Linked DNA regions of Saccharomyces cerevisiae S288C. Changing the gene in region 1 together with any one later gene gives a genetic interaction. Each region holds a gene or a part of one and is shown in the gene's direction. Other genes may lie near its edges. The genes, in order: YML054C-A, RTR2, YKR041W and BNA3.

Evidence for each region.
Region 2: mutations in YML054C-A (region 1) and RTR2 together harm fitness more than expected from each alone (negative genetic interaction), as found in Saccharomyces cerevisiae (one large-scale study listed by BioGRID).
Region 3: mutations in YML054C-A (region 1) and YKR041W together harm fitness more than expected from each alone (negative genetic interaction), as found in Saccharomyces cerevisiae (one large-scale study listed by BioGRID).
Region 4: mutations in YML054C-A (region 1) and BNA3 together harm fitness more than expected from each alone (negative genetic interaction), as found in Saccharomyces cerevisiae (one large-scale study listed by BioGRID).

What each region holds. Positions count from the first base shown.
Region 1 is NC_001145.3:166,204-170,153, reverse strand, and holds YML054C-A (uncharacterized protein), read left to right. Parts: upstream 1-2,372; coding exon 2,373-2,531; downstream 2,532-3,950. Other genes in the region: YML053C (uncharacterized protein), read left to right, coding at 400-1,038; CYB2 (L-lactate dehydrogenase (cytochrome)), read left to right, coding at 2,846-3,950.
Region 2 is NC_001136.10:580,449-584,918, reverse strand, and holds RTR2 (putative protein-serine/threonine phosphatase), read left to right. Parts: upstream 1-2,420; coding exon 2,421-3,011; downstream 3,012-4,470. Other genes in the region: DOS2 (Dos2p), read right to left, coding at 274-1,206; OCA6 (protein-tyrosine-phosphatase), read left to right, coding at 1,454-2,128; RRG1 (Rrg1p), read right to left, coding at 3,135-4,232; 40S ribosomal protein uS15 RPS13, read right to left, coding at 4,467-4,470. UniProt on the Saccharomyces cerevisiae protein: Probable RNA polymerase II subunit B1 C-terminal domain (CTD) phosphatase that regulates RNA polymerase II transcription. May have functional redundancy with RTR1.
Region 3 is NC_001143.9:516,671-519,450, forward strand, and holds YKR041W (uncharacterized protein), read left to right. Parts: upstream 1-1,527; coding exon 1,528-2,280; downstream 2,281-2,780. Other genes in the region: amino acid permease GAP1, read left to right, coding at 1-201.
Region 4 is NC_001142.9:320,910-326,095, forward strand, and holds BNA3 (kynurenine--oxoglutarate transaminase), read left to right. Parts: upstream 1-2,476; coding exon 2,477-3,811; downstream 3,812-5,186. Other genes in the region: linker nucleoporin NUP82, read left to right, coding at 1-1,248; amino acid transporter YHC3, read left to right, coding at 4,055-5,186. UniProt on the Saccharomyces cerevisiae protein: Catalyzes the irreversible transamination of the L-tryptophan metabolite L-kynurenine to form kynurenic acid (KA).

The sequences.
Region 1 (3,950 bases):
ACTTCACGCTCGAGGCGAGGCCACGCTTTCGAAGCTTCGAATGCCACTACCTAGACCATTGCTGTTTTGTACCTTCACGGTCCCATTAGAGACATTTTACTTAATGCAAGATTGCCATATCCGTTGTCATGGTACCAAACAGGGTAATAATTTCTAGAAATCATGATACACGTATGACATCTGGGTAACCTAATCCATCTGGGTAACCGATTTTTCTCTCCCTTTGCTTTCTCTTTACCACTCAGCTGACTTTATTATTTTTTTTATATTTTTCATTTTGACAAAATTATATAGTTAGGAAGAATACAATAGGACTGCGACAGAAACAGATAAGGGCTCTTTTTTCTTGGGGTTGGCTGCTTTTATTCATTAATTTAAGACTCAAGTGTGCTGCGTGAAATGCTCTCATACTATGAACACAATACTGCGTTCCAAACAAACAATTGCAATTCCGGTAGCAATGCCGCCACTACATACAACAGCGACGCCAATAATGATACGATCATGAATAAAAGAAAAAATGACCATTTCGAGTTTGATACACACACTTTCTACCAAAGATCGAAGAGAACAAAACGAGATTCTGTAAGTACAAAGTTTTCGGTCGGTTCCGGGTGTGCTAATCTTAATAACAACAACAACAACATCATCATCAACAACAACAACAACAACAATAATAATAATAATAACCATAATCATAATAACAGCAATAATACTGCAACCTACAATAATATTCATTATAAAAAAAATATCGAAATATGTCCCCTGAAACCGGTTAGTATGCACCACACTATGAACAGCCGCTTACTGAACGAATCTGAATTTTATTCTGAAACAGAAGAGTACATGATTCATGGTTATTTCGGTAACACTAATCGCGACATAACAGGCACGAGTCCTACTGGAAGTGCTAGTATTATACAACACCAGTATCATCTTCTACCATCCCAAAGTATAATTGCATCACAAGCACCCGGTACTGCCATGGCCGCGTTGACTAACAACAATATCGCTAACGATTACATGGATATAGATTAATAAGAAAAAAAATAACTGCAGGAAATGAAAATGAAAATGAAATGGAAAAAAAAAAAAGAAAATTTAACCTATTTAAAATAATACAATGTATTACATATTTATCACGACTGTTTACGTATCTCTACTCAATTTACTTTAAAGGCTAAGTGCTCATTCTGGCTACCTTACATCTATCTATAAAACGTTCAAAACTCAAACCTCACTAGGCCTGGAGAAAAAGGGAAAAAAAATATCTCCCGGGGGCGAGTCGAACGCCCGATCTCAAGATTTCGTAGTGGTAAATTACAGTCTTGCGCCTTAAACCAACTTGGCTACCGAGAGTGACTATTTTGATTTACTTCAAAATAAAGTGTCAGTACTACCCTTATTATATGAATGTTGTCGTAACCTCTCGGATTATATGTAGACAATGTTATGGATATATAGAATATAAGTGTTGGAATAAAAATCAACTATCATCTACTAACTAGTATTTACGTTACTAGTATATTATCATATACGGTGTTAGAAGATGACGCAAATGATGAGAAATAGTCATCTAAATTAGTGGAAGCTGAAACGCAAGGATTGATAATGTAATAGGATCAATGAATATTAACATATAAAATGATGATAATAATATTTATAGAATTGTGTAGAATTGCAGATTCCCTTTTATGGATTCCTAAATCCTCGAGGAGAACTTCTAGTACATTCTACATACCTAATATTATTGCCTTATTAAAAATGGAATCCCAACGATTATCTCAAAATTCACCCATTCTTCAATAAGAATTTACGAAATAAATCCGGTAACCATAAATCCACAGAGCCTCTTATATTCACTCTGTTCCTCCATCGCCTATTGAGAAACGTTGGAATAAAACTCTAAAAATATCATCTAGTTAGTTAGTTTTTATTTTACCAGTACATTGTCACTTGCGGAGGGAGGATGACATAAAGATTGAGACGCAGTCATTTAATGAAGTTTAAACGCGGGTACTTGATAAAGTAATACGATATTGAATCATGACGTATAAAGTGAAATGAACGAATGATTACGTAAAAATGTCGATTTTCTCTTGAGAGACTCCCATAGCCTCTAAGAGGCCTTCTACTACGTTCCATATATCTAAGAATGGGGCCATATCCAGTGGAATCCCAGCAATTATTTGAGAATCACCATTTCTCAGCCGATATTTTAGCAGAATTACTACCAATATCAGGGGGCAATAGTTGATCGCCTACTTTAACAAAAAATGTTGCTCACGTATTAACACAGGCAACAAAAAGGATATTACGCAAGAACGTAGTATCCACATGCCATCCTCCTTGTTGCATCTTTTTTTTCCGAAATGATTCCCTTTCCTGCACAACACGAGATCTTTCACGCATACATCGGAAGGATCACCCCCCACTCAAGTCGTTGCATTGCTAACATGTGGCATTCTGCCCATTTTTTTCACGAAAATTCTCTCTCTATAATGAAGACCCTTGTGCCCTGGACTCTGTAATACTTGAAACTACTTCCTCAATAATCGCTTGGAGACCTACCCCCACGCTTTTCAAACAAGGCGCTAGCAAAAAGCCTGCCGATATCTCCTTGCCCCCTCCTCCTGTTCGAGAGAACTACGACCCGACCAATAATAATGTCATACAAGAACCGCCAAGAACCAACTGCTGAACCTTAGATCTCCAATACTTTCAGTTGGAGTATGTGAATATATAAGTACCTGGTCGACTAATCTTCTTGCATCTTTTCGTATTCTTACATCCTATGTCGCTAATACAGTTCCCGCATAGAGAAGAAAGCAAACAAAAGTAGTCAATGCTAAAATACAAACCTTTACTAAAAATCTCGAAGAACTGTGAGGCTGCTATCCTCAGAGCGTCTAAGACTAGATTGAACACAATCCGCGCGTACGGTTCTACCGTTCCAAAATCCAAGTCGTTCGAACAAGACTCAAGAAAACGCACACAGTCATGGACTGCCTTGAGAGTCGGTGCAATTCTAGCCGCTACTAGTTCCGTGGCGTATCTAAACTGGCATAATGGCCAAATAGACAACGAGCCGAAACTGGATATGAATAAACAAAAGATTTCGCCCGCTGAAGTTGCCAAGCATAACAAGCCCGATGATTGTTGGGTTGTGATCAATGGTTACGTATACGACTTAACGCGATTCCTACCAAATCATCCAGGTGGGCAGGATGTTATCAAGTTTAACGCCGGGAAAGATGTCACTGCTATTTTTGAACCACTACATGCTCCTAATGTCATCGATAAGTATATAGCTCCCGAGAAAAAATTGGGTCCCCTTCAAGGATCCATGCCTCCTGAACTTGTCTGTCCTCCTTATGCTCCTGGTGAAACTAAGGAAGATATCGCTAGAAAAGAACAACTAAAATCGCTGCTACCTCCTCTAGATAATATTATTAACCTTTACGACTTTGAATACTTGGCCTCTCAAACTTTGACTAAACAAGCGTGGGCCTACTATTCCTCCGGTGCTAACGACGAAGTTACTCACAGAGAAAACCATAATGCTTATCATAGGATTTTTTTCAAACCAAAGATCCTTGTAGATGTACGCAAAGTAGACATTTCAACTGACATGTTGGGTTCTCATGTGGATGTTCCCTTCTACGTGTCTGCTACAGCTTTGTGTAAACTGGGAAACCCCTTAGAAGGTGAAAAAGATGTCGCCAGAGGTTGTGGCCAAGGTGTGACAAAAGTCCCACAAATGATATCTACTTTGGCTTCATGTTCCCCTGAGGAAATTATTGAAGCAGCACCCTCTGATAAACAAATTCAATGGTACCAACTATATGTTAACTCTGATAGAAAGATCACTGATGATTTGGTTAAAAATGTAGAAAAGCTGGGTGTAAAGGCATTATTTGTCACTGTGGATGCTCCAAGTTTAGGTCAAA
Region 2 (4,470 bases), on another chromosome or scaffold:
AAAACCGTTGTCTATACACTTTTTTTCCCGTTCAACATGGCATATCATTATTTCCATCTAAGGTCAAAGTAAAAAACCCTAAATACAAATGATTTATTTTAACGGTAACAAACGAACTTTTTTTTAGAAGGTGTAAAGATGAGATCACGCCCAGATTTTGTCTTCCTCCTGTGCATCTCTTGGATTGATGATTTTCCTTTCTACCATAATACGTCATGAAAAGTATGTAAATATTTATAGCATTACATATATCTTTTATATGAAAAAAATCACTCATTCCCAGTCATCATCGTCGTCGTCGTCCTTGCTCTCATCCTTGTTGGCGAGGCCAACATGGTCACTAACATCTTTCAATCCCTCTTGAGACACAGCAACTTTCGTCTCCCCTTTAGATTTGTTGTCAGCTACTGCTTCTACTTTGTCATCATCTTCTTCTTCTTCTTCGTCATCCCACTCAACTTCTTTTTCCTCCGTTTCCTTTTCCTTTTTGGACAATATTTCTTTCCTTTTACTTTCTTTATCTAGAATTTTGTTTCTTTGTAAGAAATAGATGTGCCAGAAATCTTTATAGCTGATTTTATGGGGTACGATGTCGTTCATTAATTTGGAGATATCTTTGTCGCCCTGTAAAATAGAACATATCTCCTCAGTTTTTTCATCCACGTCAAACGGGTCCAGTTGCAAATCCATTTTATTGTCTAAATAAACCGATTTATCTTTAGATAATGTCCTTAGTTCGGCTTCTGTTCTATTTCCACCCACAGCAATTTCATTTTCTTTCGAATTCTCATCCTTGTCATTAGAGTCATTTTCTGCAGCATTATCGAAGCTACTGAAGCCAGACCAAAAATTCTTAGTTTTCATTTTGCTCCAATATGACTGGGCTAGACTTTCCACGCTGTGAATATTCTCGTCTAGTTTCTTCAAATACTTTTGTGCAGTCTCTGTAGTTTCATTGCTAATTGGCAAGTTAATTTCAATTCCGTCATCTTTCTCGATTACTAACTTTTTGAATGCACTTGTAGTCTTTTCATATCGTTTATTGACTTCCTCTTCTAACTTTTGGAAGGCCTCATTTGTTTTGTCATCTCGGCTCTGAAGTTCGTTATTTTCAGTGTTTTCTGTTGATCCAGTTTCCTTGGTATGAGAGTTGCTTATTTTATCATCTTCGATACAAGCTACTTGTTCTTCATAAAAGAATTCCATTTTATCCTAAAACGTCGAAGCAATGGAGCTCACTAGCTGTACCCTTATGTTGTGTTCTTTTTTTGTTGCATGACTTCTGCTAAGTGCTTTTTATCATTAATCACCGCTATTTGATGTAAGGCCAAAAAAAATGCGAAAGAAAAAAAGAGACTCTGTTAAGAAGGAAAGGAGTACCAATATAAACTATGGGTTCACAATTGCTATGAATACCCAGTTCACACATCTAGAATAAGCTATATGTATCAAAATGACACTAGTGACTCCGTTACAATTTTCGACTGTACAGCCAAATTTATATAGAGGATCTTACCCACGAGAAATCAATCTCCCATTCCTGAGAACCCTTAGATTGAAATACATATTATCTTTGACACCAGAACCTTTGAGCACTGATCCTCTAATGGTAAAGTTTTGTGAAGAAAATAACATTAAGACAATTCATATAAAATGTCAAAGTGAAAGAAAGGCAGACAAGACCAAACCCAAGATTAAAAGGAAAAAGAAAACAGTTCCTATTGAATACGATGTTGTAGTACGATGCGTTAAATTTCTGATTGATAAAGGGCATTACCCCTGTTATATGCACTGTACGAATGGTGAATTGATAATATCTCTCGTAGTAGCATGTATGAGAAAGTTTTCATATTGGAGTACGGTATCCATACTAAATGAGTTTTTGGTGTATAATTCCAGCATCAATATTCATGAAAGAAATTTCATTGAAAACTTTAACTCTGAAATCGAAGTTGACGATCTGGATATAAAGGATAAAGTTCCCTGGATTACCGTGCGATATATTGCAAGGACAGCCACAGAATCAAAAGATGAGTTGCGTGTTGATGATGCTAATGCGTCTGAAAAAGTTGCAAGAGTAAGTAGCGTGTCAAATTCTTTGCCAAAACTAAAATTTCATAGTATGTAAAATTCAGGGATAAATTCATATAATATTTTGTAAAGACAGAAGCTTCAGGGTTAAGTCTTAGCCGGGCCCTCCAGCATTGATAATCATTTTTTTCAATATCAAATGCCATTGAAAAGTCCAACGAAAATTACATCGACTTTACAAAAGAGACGAGCCGGTCACATTCTAGTATTGGCGAAGATTGGAAGCCATTTATCAACAGCAAGGAGGCATTCTGGAAAAATTGCAGCATATTTAAGAAAAGTGATAGGTTTATTTTTATACTAGAAGGACAGGAGCAACGCAAGCCATAATGCAGATAATAACCACTACGTTCATTCAAAAAGTAATTTTAGGATCACACCAATTACATGAGCAATTATCTATAGTGGAAGCCCGAATGATTGAATCTGCCATAGTTTCAATGCTCACAGAATCATTTTGCGAAAATGAGCAGACATTAAAATACTTAGCACGGCTACTTTCACCGATGTCTTATATGGATGTTATTAATGCAAGAAGGGGAAAGAAAATATGTGGGTACCCGCTATGCTATAAGAGTGCGGCAGAAAATTCATCTGATGGCTTCTTTATCCACTCAATGTATTGTAATAATTATCACAGTAAATGTTCGTTGTATTTAATGAGACAGTTATCACAAACGCCTCTGCATGAAAGGCGAGGCGTGCATTTAACTAGTTACATTAATCTAGAGTTTGATGATATGTACTCGGTAAGCCTTTTAGAAGAATTAGTTGGAAGTGAGGTACCTATAGATACCGTCAAATCGCTGATAACGAGTTTCAAGGATCTTGAGTTTGATGATACCTACAAGAATGAGCCTTTACCATTGGATGTGTACTTTGGACAGTTGACTACTGATGAGGAAACCTGTATAGAATAGGAAGTATAATTAAATCGTCTTCATCAGGATCCTTATCGCGGTCATACGAGTGACTATTTACATAGAAATGGAAGTAACCAGTAAATTTTCTATTAAACTTTCTGATTCACGCAACTTTTGCACTTAAAAACCGTATTTCGCCAAAACACTTGGCAAGTCCCTCCCTTCTATAAAGAGTGTCACATATGGTAATGTTTCTTTGCTCATTTTTCTGAATAGTGTCAACCGTTTGGCGTACATTTCTTTTGACTTTTTATCAAAATATGCTAGTTGGCCACCGTTCTTTAAAAGCTTTTCCTTATATTTGTTAAAGTACTCCACTCTTTGAAAACTTTTGGAATGTAATTCGAACATTATTTCTCTCACGGGATCTACCCATTCTTTAACTTTCTGATATTGACTCGAAGGATTACATTTAGTAGACTTTGGGATATTTGCAGCGTATTCCAAGTATTTCGGTAAGTTTACTTTAATAATCTTTTTCGACTCTAGATATTCCTCCCAAATGGCCTCATGTAATGCCCAAGCAGCATTAATTTCGCAAAAATTGAGATTATCGATATTTTTCTGAGAATCCTTCCTTTCTTTTCGTATCAATATTCCCAGCTTTTTCGATTGTTGTCTGCCCTTGTTAATTGGTGACCGAACAAACCATATTTGATTCCTTCCTTCTTTTGTATATGACAGCCCAGCAGAAGGTGGGCCATTTTTCAATTTTTGCTGAATATGAAATAGTTTCAGGCACGCATGTTCGTTCAATGCTAATGGTAATAGGAGTTTGTGCTGATACGTTTTTGGTATGTATGCAGGTAAAAGGCCCAAATCTTGTTTTCGCTTAATGTAAGCACTTAGAACATGAAATCTTCTTACTTCTTCTGGGTCGTTGGTCTTTACATCCCCTAATGAAGTCAAAGAGTTGAGGATTTTCGTTGTTTTCAGTTGTTTTTTCATCTTTTTTAATGGCTTCATTAAGTTTTTGATTTCTTGTAATTTACCTTCCAAAAGGCAATTGTTCAACAAACTGAATTCATTGAGTAAAGTATAAACACTCCAACTTGACTTGTCATGCTTGTGTTTGAACAATTGTATTGAAAGTGTTTTTTTTATTTCATATTGAAACGCATATGAGTGGCAACACTTTGGAATGTTTCTGAGAACGGTCCGATATAAGCTCAATACGTAAGACTTGTGAGAAGGAATCTTTCCAAAATTTTGAGCCATATTTTCTACTTGTTCATTACAAAAGTGTTAATCTGTTGCTTTCTCAGGCAGACTTGGTAACTGAAAACCTTAGGAAAGGCTGGGAGCAGCTTTGAAGTTAGAAACGGACACAAAAATTAGCAATAGTGAAATAAAATAAAATGCAACTTATCGTTTATAAAGAGATGTTTAAAAAATCAATTTTAGTTATACAAAATATACATATAAAATAATGAAATAAATGATTTAAACACTCTAG
Region 3 (2,780 bases), on another chromosome or scaffold:
TTCCCACTTGTTATGGTTATGTACATCGGACACAAGATCTATAAGAGGAATTGGAAGCTTTTCATCCCAGCAGAAAAGATGGACATTGATACGGGTAGAAGAGAAGTCGATTTAGATTTGTTGAAACAAGAAATTGCAGAAGAAAAGGCAATTATGGCCACAAAGCCAAGATGGTATAGAATCTGGAATTTCTGGTGTTAATGAATCGAACAACGACAAAAAAAGACTTTATTTTTTAGATAATCATAATAAATATATTTATTTTCTCGTCATTAATCTAAAGAAAAAAGGGAAATGTTTATAGTCAAAAATTGTATATTTCCGTGCACTAATAAGATAAATTATACTATGAAAGAAAGTAAGGTATTTCTATTTTTTTACTTTTTGTTATTTTATTTATGTTTTTCTAGGAAATGTAAAAATAAATCTTTTAGTAGACAGCGAGATGAAAACTAATCTGTGTGAGCTTCAATCAATCAATATGATTTCCCCGCATTTTGTTTGATATTTTAATTGATTCCGATTAAATCCGCTGGTAGCAGTTTTGTTTCAAACTAATTCAGCCTCCTTACTCCCCATTTCCTTATTGAACTTTGGGGATTCGGAGTTCCTTTTTTTTTCCGCCACTCCGATAACTAAACTTTGCAGTTTCACTGCTTGTTAAACATTTTCCTACTATAAATGACATTTAAAACGTAATTGAGACAAAAAAAGTTAAATCGTTATTAACTTTCACTGCGGCTCCGCTCTTTTCCTCATAAGGAAATCCCCTCTTATGATCTTGAGAAATGGGGGAATGTTGAGATAATTGTTGGGATTCCATTGTTGATAAAGGCTATAATATTAGGTATACAGAATATACTAGAAGTTCTCCTCAAGGATATAGGAATCCTCAAAATGGAATCTATATTTCTACATACTAATATTACGATTATTCCTCATTCCGTTTTATATGTTTCATTATCCTATTACATTATCAATCCTTGCACTTCAGCTTCCTCTAACTTCGATGACAGCTTCTCATAACTTATGTCATCATCTTAACACCGTATATGATAATATATTGATAATATAACTATTAGTTGATAGACGATAGTGGATTTTTATTCCAACAGATCTTGATATAAGCCCTGTCATTGATTGCAAATGCACAAATTCCGGAGATTGAACAGCCAACACAAAGATAGTATTTGGGACTTAGCGGGTTGAGAACGGTAATTATATCATGAATACTCCACTCCAAGCTTGTTTGATACATCACATTCTTGTAAAAATATATGATCCAATTCCTAGGACATCAGAAAATATATCTACTATGGGCGTGTGGCGTAGTCGGTAGCGCGCTCCCTTAGCATGGGAGAGGTCTCCGGTTCGATTCCGGACTCGTCCATTTTAAAATTTCTTTTTTTTTTTTTCTCTTTCCGTATGTAAGCTTTTTTCCTTTTTTTTTTTTTTTTTTTTTTTTTTTTCTTCACTACTTTTCAATGAAACTCTCTTCAAAAGACAGCATGCAGTAAAAGCGCCGATATGAGTGACGACGATTATATGAACAGCGATGACGACAACGACGCCGAAAAAAGATACGTAAGGCCAATTTTCGTCAGAAAGCGCAGGAGAGAAGAAGACTACGTTGCAACTAGCAAAGACAACATCCACCACCACCCATGCGATTGGTCCGCGAAACCATCGCAACGTCAAAACGAAAATGAGCAAAAAAGCACCATACGGCTTGTACCAGTGGCGATGAATACGCCGAAGTGTCAAGAGAAAAAAAAGAAAAGAAAGGGCGTTGGTACAACTAGTCATGAGGCTACGCTTTTCGAGTACGGTGAAAGCATAGCAGGCTACAAGTGTGTTACAACCGAGAGCGAAAGAGACCGCTTGAAACGAAGTCATGAAAGCGAAAGCAGCAGTGAAAGCGAGGTAGACGTTTTCGCCTTTGACCAGGCAAAAGGTATCAGCTCTAAGGTTGAAGCCGAAGAACGCTACGCGCGGGCCGTTCGACAGTATTGGCGCATGACCAAAGACGAGCCGGCTACCTTACCACTGCCAGGCACACCTACCCTAGCGGCTGTGAGTTTAGATATGATTGATGACAAAAGCGTAGAACAATTTTACACAATGAGCAGTGCCTTGATGGATGCAAACAGACTAGACTTGATTCGCCGCGATAGAATCCGGTGGCACCCGGACAAACATCGTTATCATAAGTCCAAAGTCACAAAACTGTTTCAGGCCATTAACGGCCTGTGGGAGCAAGAAAAGACCGAGAAAAGGTAATGAAAAAGTGGAACTAGACCCCACGTCAGCGGGCCTAGGCCCTTCAATGTGTTAGAATACACAGCGTGCCTAGTTCCTGGTGCCTGGATCTCGAGGCCGCGGCACTGGAAAAGCCCTTTCTTTTCCAGATCGGGAAACCTAATGAGTCCATAAAAAGAAATGTAGAGGTGGTGTTGACGTTTTGCCGCTTTTGGGCAAGTAGGTCTTTCTGCACGGCCCGGCCCGGGTCGTGCGGAAAAAGAAAAAAGCAGACAAAACAAAATTTTTCCTTTTTTTCGCCTTTGTTTCTCCTGATTCGGGTATATAAGTGAATACCATCTAATGTGTTTCCTTCTCGAGACCTCGGCGTCTCCCAGATCAAAGCTCAGCAAAGATTTTAAACCGCAATTTACGCTCCTTTCATCGGTAACTAAGAAGAAAAAAAAAAAAGTACGACCACACAATTTCCAGTGTATTCATTCCTTAAACTTCGTTTATTTTTTATTCATTCATTCATTTTT
Region 4 (5,186 bases), on another chromosome or scaffold:
GCTACAAATATTGCAACCATACTAATTGATAATGGGCAAAATGAAATTGTTTGTGTCAGTTTTGATGATGGGTCTTTAATCTTACTCTTCAAAGATTTGGAAATGTCAATGTCGTGGGATGTTGACAATTACGTGTATAATAATTCTTTGGTTCTAATTGAACGAGTCAAACTACAAAGAGAAATTAAGTCTCTAATAACGTTACCTGAACAGTTGGGAAAACTTTATGTCATTTCCGATAATATTATACAACAAGTAAATTTTATGAGCTGGGCTTCTACATTGAGTAAATGTATCAACGAATCGGATTTGAATCCACTTGCAGGATTGAAATTTGAAAGTAAACTTGAGGATATTGCCACCATAGAAAGAATTCCAAACCTAGCGTATATCAACTGGAATGACCAATCTAATTTAGCCTTGATGTCGAATAAAACATTGACTTTTCAAAATATTTCAAGCGATATGAAACCGCAAAGCACCGCAGCTGAAACAAGTATCAGTACAGAAAAAAGTGACACGGTAGGAGATGGTTTTAAAATGAGTTTCACACAGCCCATAAATGAGATTCTTATTTTGAACGATAATTTTCAAAAAGCCTGTATTAGTCCATGTGAACGAATTATCCCATCAGCAGACCGCCAGATACCTTTAAAAAACGAAGCTAGTGAAAATCAGTTGGAAATTTTCACGGATATTTCCAAAGAATTTTTGCAAAGAATTGTTAAAGCTCAAACTTTGGGTGTTTCTATCCACAATAGAATTCATGAGCAACAGTTCGAATTGACGCGCCAACTACAATCGACATGCAAAATAATTTCAAAGGATGATGATTTAAGGAGAAAATTCGAAGCACAAAATAAGAAATGGGATGCACAACTAAGCAGACAGTCAGAATTAATGGAGAGATTTAGTAAATTGAGCAAGAAGCTATCTCAAATCGCCGAATCCAATAAATTTAAAGAAAAGAAAATAAGCCATGGTGAGATGAAATGGTTCAAAGAGATACGAAACCAAATATTGCAATTCAACAGCTTTGTTCACTCTCAAAAATCCCTTCAACAAGATTTATCGTACTTGAAGAGTGAACTAACTCGTATCGAGGCAGAAACTATCAAAGTCGATAAAAAGAGCCAAAACGAATGGGATGAGCTACGCAAAATGCTTGAAATAGATTCAAAGATAATTAAAGAATGCAATGAAGAATTGTTACAAGTTTCTCAGGAATTTACTACTAAAACTCAATGAGTAAGCGACTTGCATAGTCTGCTATCATATATGTACGCTAAGAAACAACTGGGCAATGGTATAATATCATGTAGCAAGAGGACATTATATATGAATTGGTCAATATATAAAGCCTTCTGTGCACCAAATCGTTAGGATGATTTTTCAGTATGCTGTATCATTGTATCGTATATTCATTCGTATCTCTTTTACCTCACTAACCGCTGCCAAAATTTACATGTATACAAAATAAAAGTCTTTTTTATGACCTTATTTGGTGAGTAATGCTACTTTTGTAAAGAGTGATGGAAACTATTATTCCAAAGGGTTAGAAGAAGGTGAGGAATACGTTCATATCACCGCTACAGATCGTGTCTCTCGGTTATGAGTAATCAAACCCTCTGCAAGCAACACAGTTACTTTTTTTCGGTTTTTTCTTTTCGTGTGAATTTTTATCCAGTGAGTTTCCTTGTTCACTTTCGAGAATGGAAGGCTGATTTCGAATTTTTATATTCAACAACTGTATTTGTATTAGGCTTTGCAATAGTAGATGAAAAGTGCAGAAGACGAATCTGCTACCCTCACAATACAAAGAAAAACAAAATCGTCATTTTAATATAGGAAGACACCGCTCAGGTAATTCAATATTGAATCTGGTTGCACTTTTCTTACGATGTAAATACCCACAAACTTCTTGTACGGTGAGCGTCTGACAACGAAATCAATTTACGGAGCAAGGATTTTGACAGTAGAGCAGATTGTTTTGAGTAGGATTTAGGAATCAAGACCTCCATCTTTGTCGCATTATTCCTAAATGTAACGTAACTCGTTTGATAAGAGAATGTCTAATCGAAGAGAGTTAATAACTTAATAAGCTCTTTAAAAGAACGATGGCATTTATCGTCTCCTATGCCAAGATAATTACTGGCTCAAAATTGTTCAGCGTTCATAAAACTTTGATATCACTTTCTGGCGCACAAGCTAACCTTTATGTAGTTCTTACGTAGATTCTTTTTAGCAAGTGCCTGGTAGTGGTTATTACATAAATGTATCTTTTCATTTGATAACAATTTCTTCAGTAGCATGTCGTGTCTAGCACGTGACGTAGAACTGTGGCTTTTTTGTTGTCATTATGACAATCAAGATACCAAAATTCAGTCATGTTTAAAAGGGGAAGGTACGATAGAGATATATATAAAGTGTTCAATTTACTATAATTGCGTATAGAATCCATTGTTACTTGCTCTCAATGAAACAACGATTCATTCGTCAATTTACGAACCTAATGTCTACTTCGAGACCGAAAGTTGTTGCCAACAAATATTTCACTTCTAACACTGCCAAAGATGTTTGGTCGCTAACCAATGAAGCCGCTGCAAAAGCTGCCAATAACTCCAAAAACCAAGGCCGTGAACTTATTAATTTAGGCCAAGGCTTTTTTTCATATTCCCCTCCTCAATTCGCCATTAAGGAGGCTCAGAAAGCCCTAGACATTCCAATGGTCAATCAATATTCTCCAACTAGAGGTCGACCTTCATTAATTAATTCCTTGATTAAGTTGTATTCTCCTATTTATAACACAGAATTGAAAGCGGAAAATGTTACCGTAACAACAGGTGCCAATGAAGGTATACTTTCTTGCTTGATGGGGCTTTTGAACGCTGGCGACGAGGTTATTGTTTTTGAACCTTTCTTTGACCAATATATTCCAAATATCGAACTTTGCGGTGGTAAAGTTGTTTACGTCCCCATAAATCCTCCAAAGGAATTGGATCAAAGGAATACTAGAGGTGAAGAATGGACCATTGACTTTGAGCAGTTCGAAAAAGCGATTACATCCAAGACAAAAGCTGTCATTATCAATACCCCTCACAACCCAATTGGTAAAGTTTTCACGCGCGAGGAATTAACCACTTTAGGTAACATTTGCGTCAAGCACAACGTTGTGATTATATCTGATGAAGTCTATGAACACCTTTACTTCACTGATTCTTTCACTAGAATTGCCACACTCTCTCCAGAAATTGGGCAACTAACCTTAACGGTCGGTTCTGCCGGTAAATCGTTTGCTGCTACTGGTTGGAGAATTGGTTGGGTCTTATCCTTGAACGCAGAGTTGTTAAGTTATGCAGCTAAGGCACATACAAGAATTTGTTTTGCATCTCCATCCCCTCTACAGGAAGCTTGTGCAAACTCTATTAACGACGCTTTAAAAATTGGGTATTTTGAAAAAATGAGACAGGAATATATCAACAAATTCAAAATTTTCACATCGATCTTTGATGAATTGGGACTACCATATACAGCTCCAGAGGGTACATATTTTGTCCTCGTTGATTTCTCTAAAGTGAAAATTCCCGAGGACTATCCCTACCCAGAGGAGATCCTGAATAAGGGAAAAGATTTTCGCATTTCTCACTGGTTGATCAATGAATTAGGTGTGGTTGCCATTCCACCAACTGAATTCTATATCAAAGAGCACGAAAAGGCTGCTGAGAATTTGTTAAGGTTTGCAGTTTGTAAAGATGATGCTTATCTAGAAAATGCCGTAGAGAGATTAAAACTACTCAAGGACTACTTATAAGATAAATTTTTTTTTATACTCCTTTTTCTCAATATATAGATTTTATAAAGCATGTATATTTTTATGCAGAAGTGGTAAATATAAACATCAATATTCCAGAATAATTCCATATTTTCTTCGCGTACTACAAGAAAAAGTGAACCCTTAATGAAAAATAGACAATATGAACATTTAGTAATGTTTTGAACAGTGTATTTATAGAGTACTTAAACACATATGAAGATATAGCGCAAGTAAATATAAATGAGTGACAAATCTCATCAGATATATTGCTACTTTTGGCTCTTTGGTTTGATCAATAATGTACTTTATGTGGTAATACTTTCAGCAGCTGTTGATATCGTGGGTCCTACCTTGCCTAAATCTCTAGTATTGCTAGCAGATATATTCCCATCACTCGCCATTAAATTGTGTTCCCCATTCTTTATTGATAGAATCAAGTACAGCTATAGAATATGGTCTTTGATCACGATGAGTTGCTTAGGAATGTTCTTAGTTTCTTTTAAAAACTTGTTTGTTTGTCTTTTAGGAATATCTTTCGCATCTATATCTTCCGGATTTGGAGAAGTGACATTCCTACAGCTAACACACTATTACAAACAAATTTCTTTGAATGGATGGTCGTCAGGTACTGGTGGTGCAGGAATCATTGGCGGAGCATCTTATATGTTCTTAACTTCAATCTTTAAAGTTCCAGTGAAGCTAACTTTACTAGTATTTAGTCTCCTTCCATTTGCATTTTTGTTTTATTTTAAATTAGAATCCAATGATACCAACCTGACTTACCAAAGTCTTCAACAAATTGACGAAGCAGAGGATGACCAGTTGGTGCCCTTTCCTGTCGCCTTTACACATACCAACGCTTCGCAATCCCTGTATTCTACAAGACAGCACATTTTGCAAACGGTCAAGAGACTTCGAAGATTGGTTTTTCCATACATGGTTCCATTGACCACCGTCTACTTATTCGAATATTTAATAAACCAAGCGGTAGCTCCGACCCTATTATTTCCGATTAATGGTGATGAAAGAAGTAAATCGATGCCATTTTTCTTCCATAAATACAGAGATATATACGTAACCTATGGAACGCTCTACCAATTAGGTGTCTTTATATCAAGATCCTTTGGACATCTTATGAGAATGAGGAGTTTATACATCTTAGCGTTTTTACAAGGTGTGAATTTGTGCATAACGGTACTGCAATCATGGTTTTATGTCACACATTCGCCCTGGGCGGTGATGATATTAATATTCTATGAGGGTTTTCTTGGTGGTGCGTCATATGTTAACACATTCTTAAATATTCTCGAACAAGAGGATCCTGATGAAACAGAGTTCGCCATGGGTGCTGTGTCCATCGCTGATTCCTTTG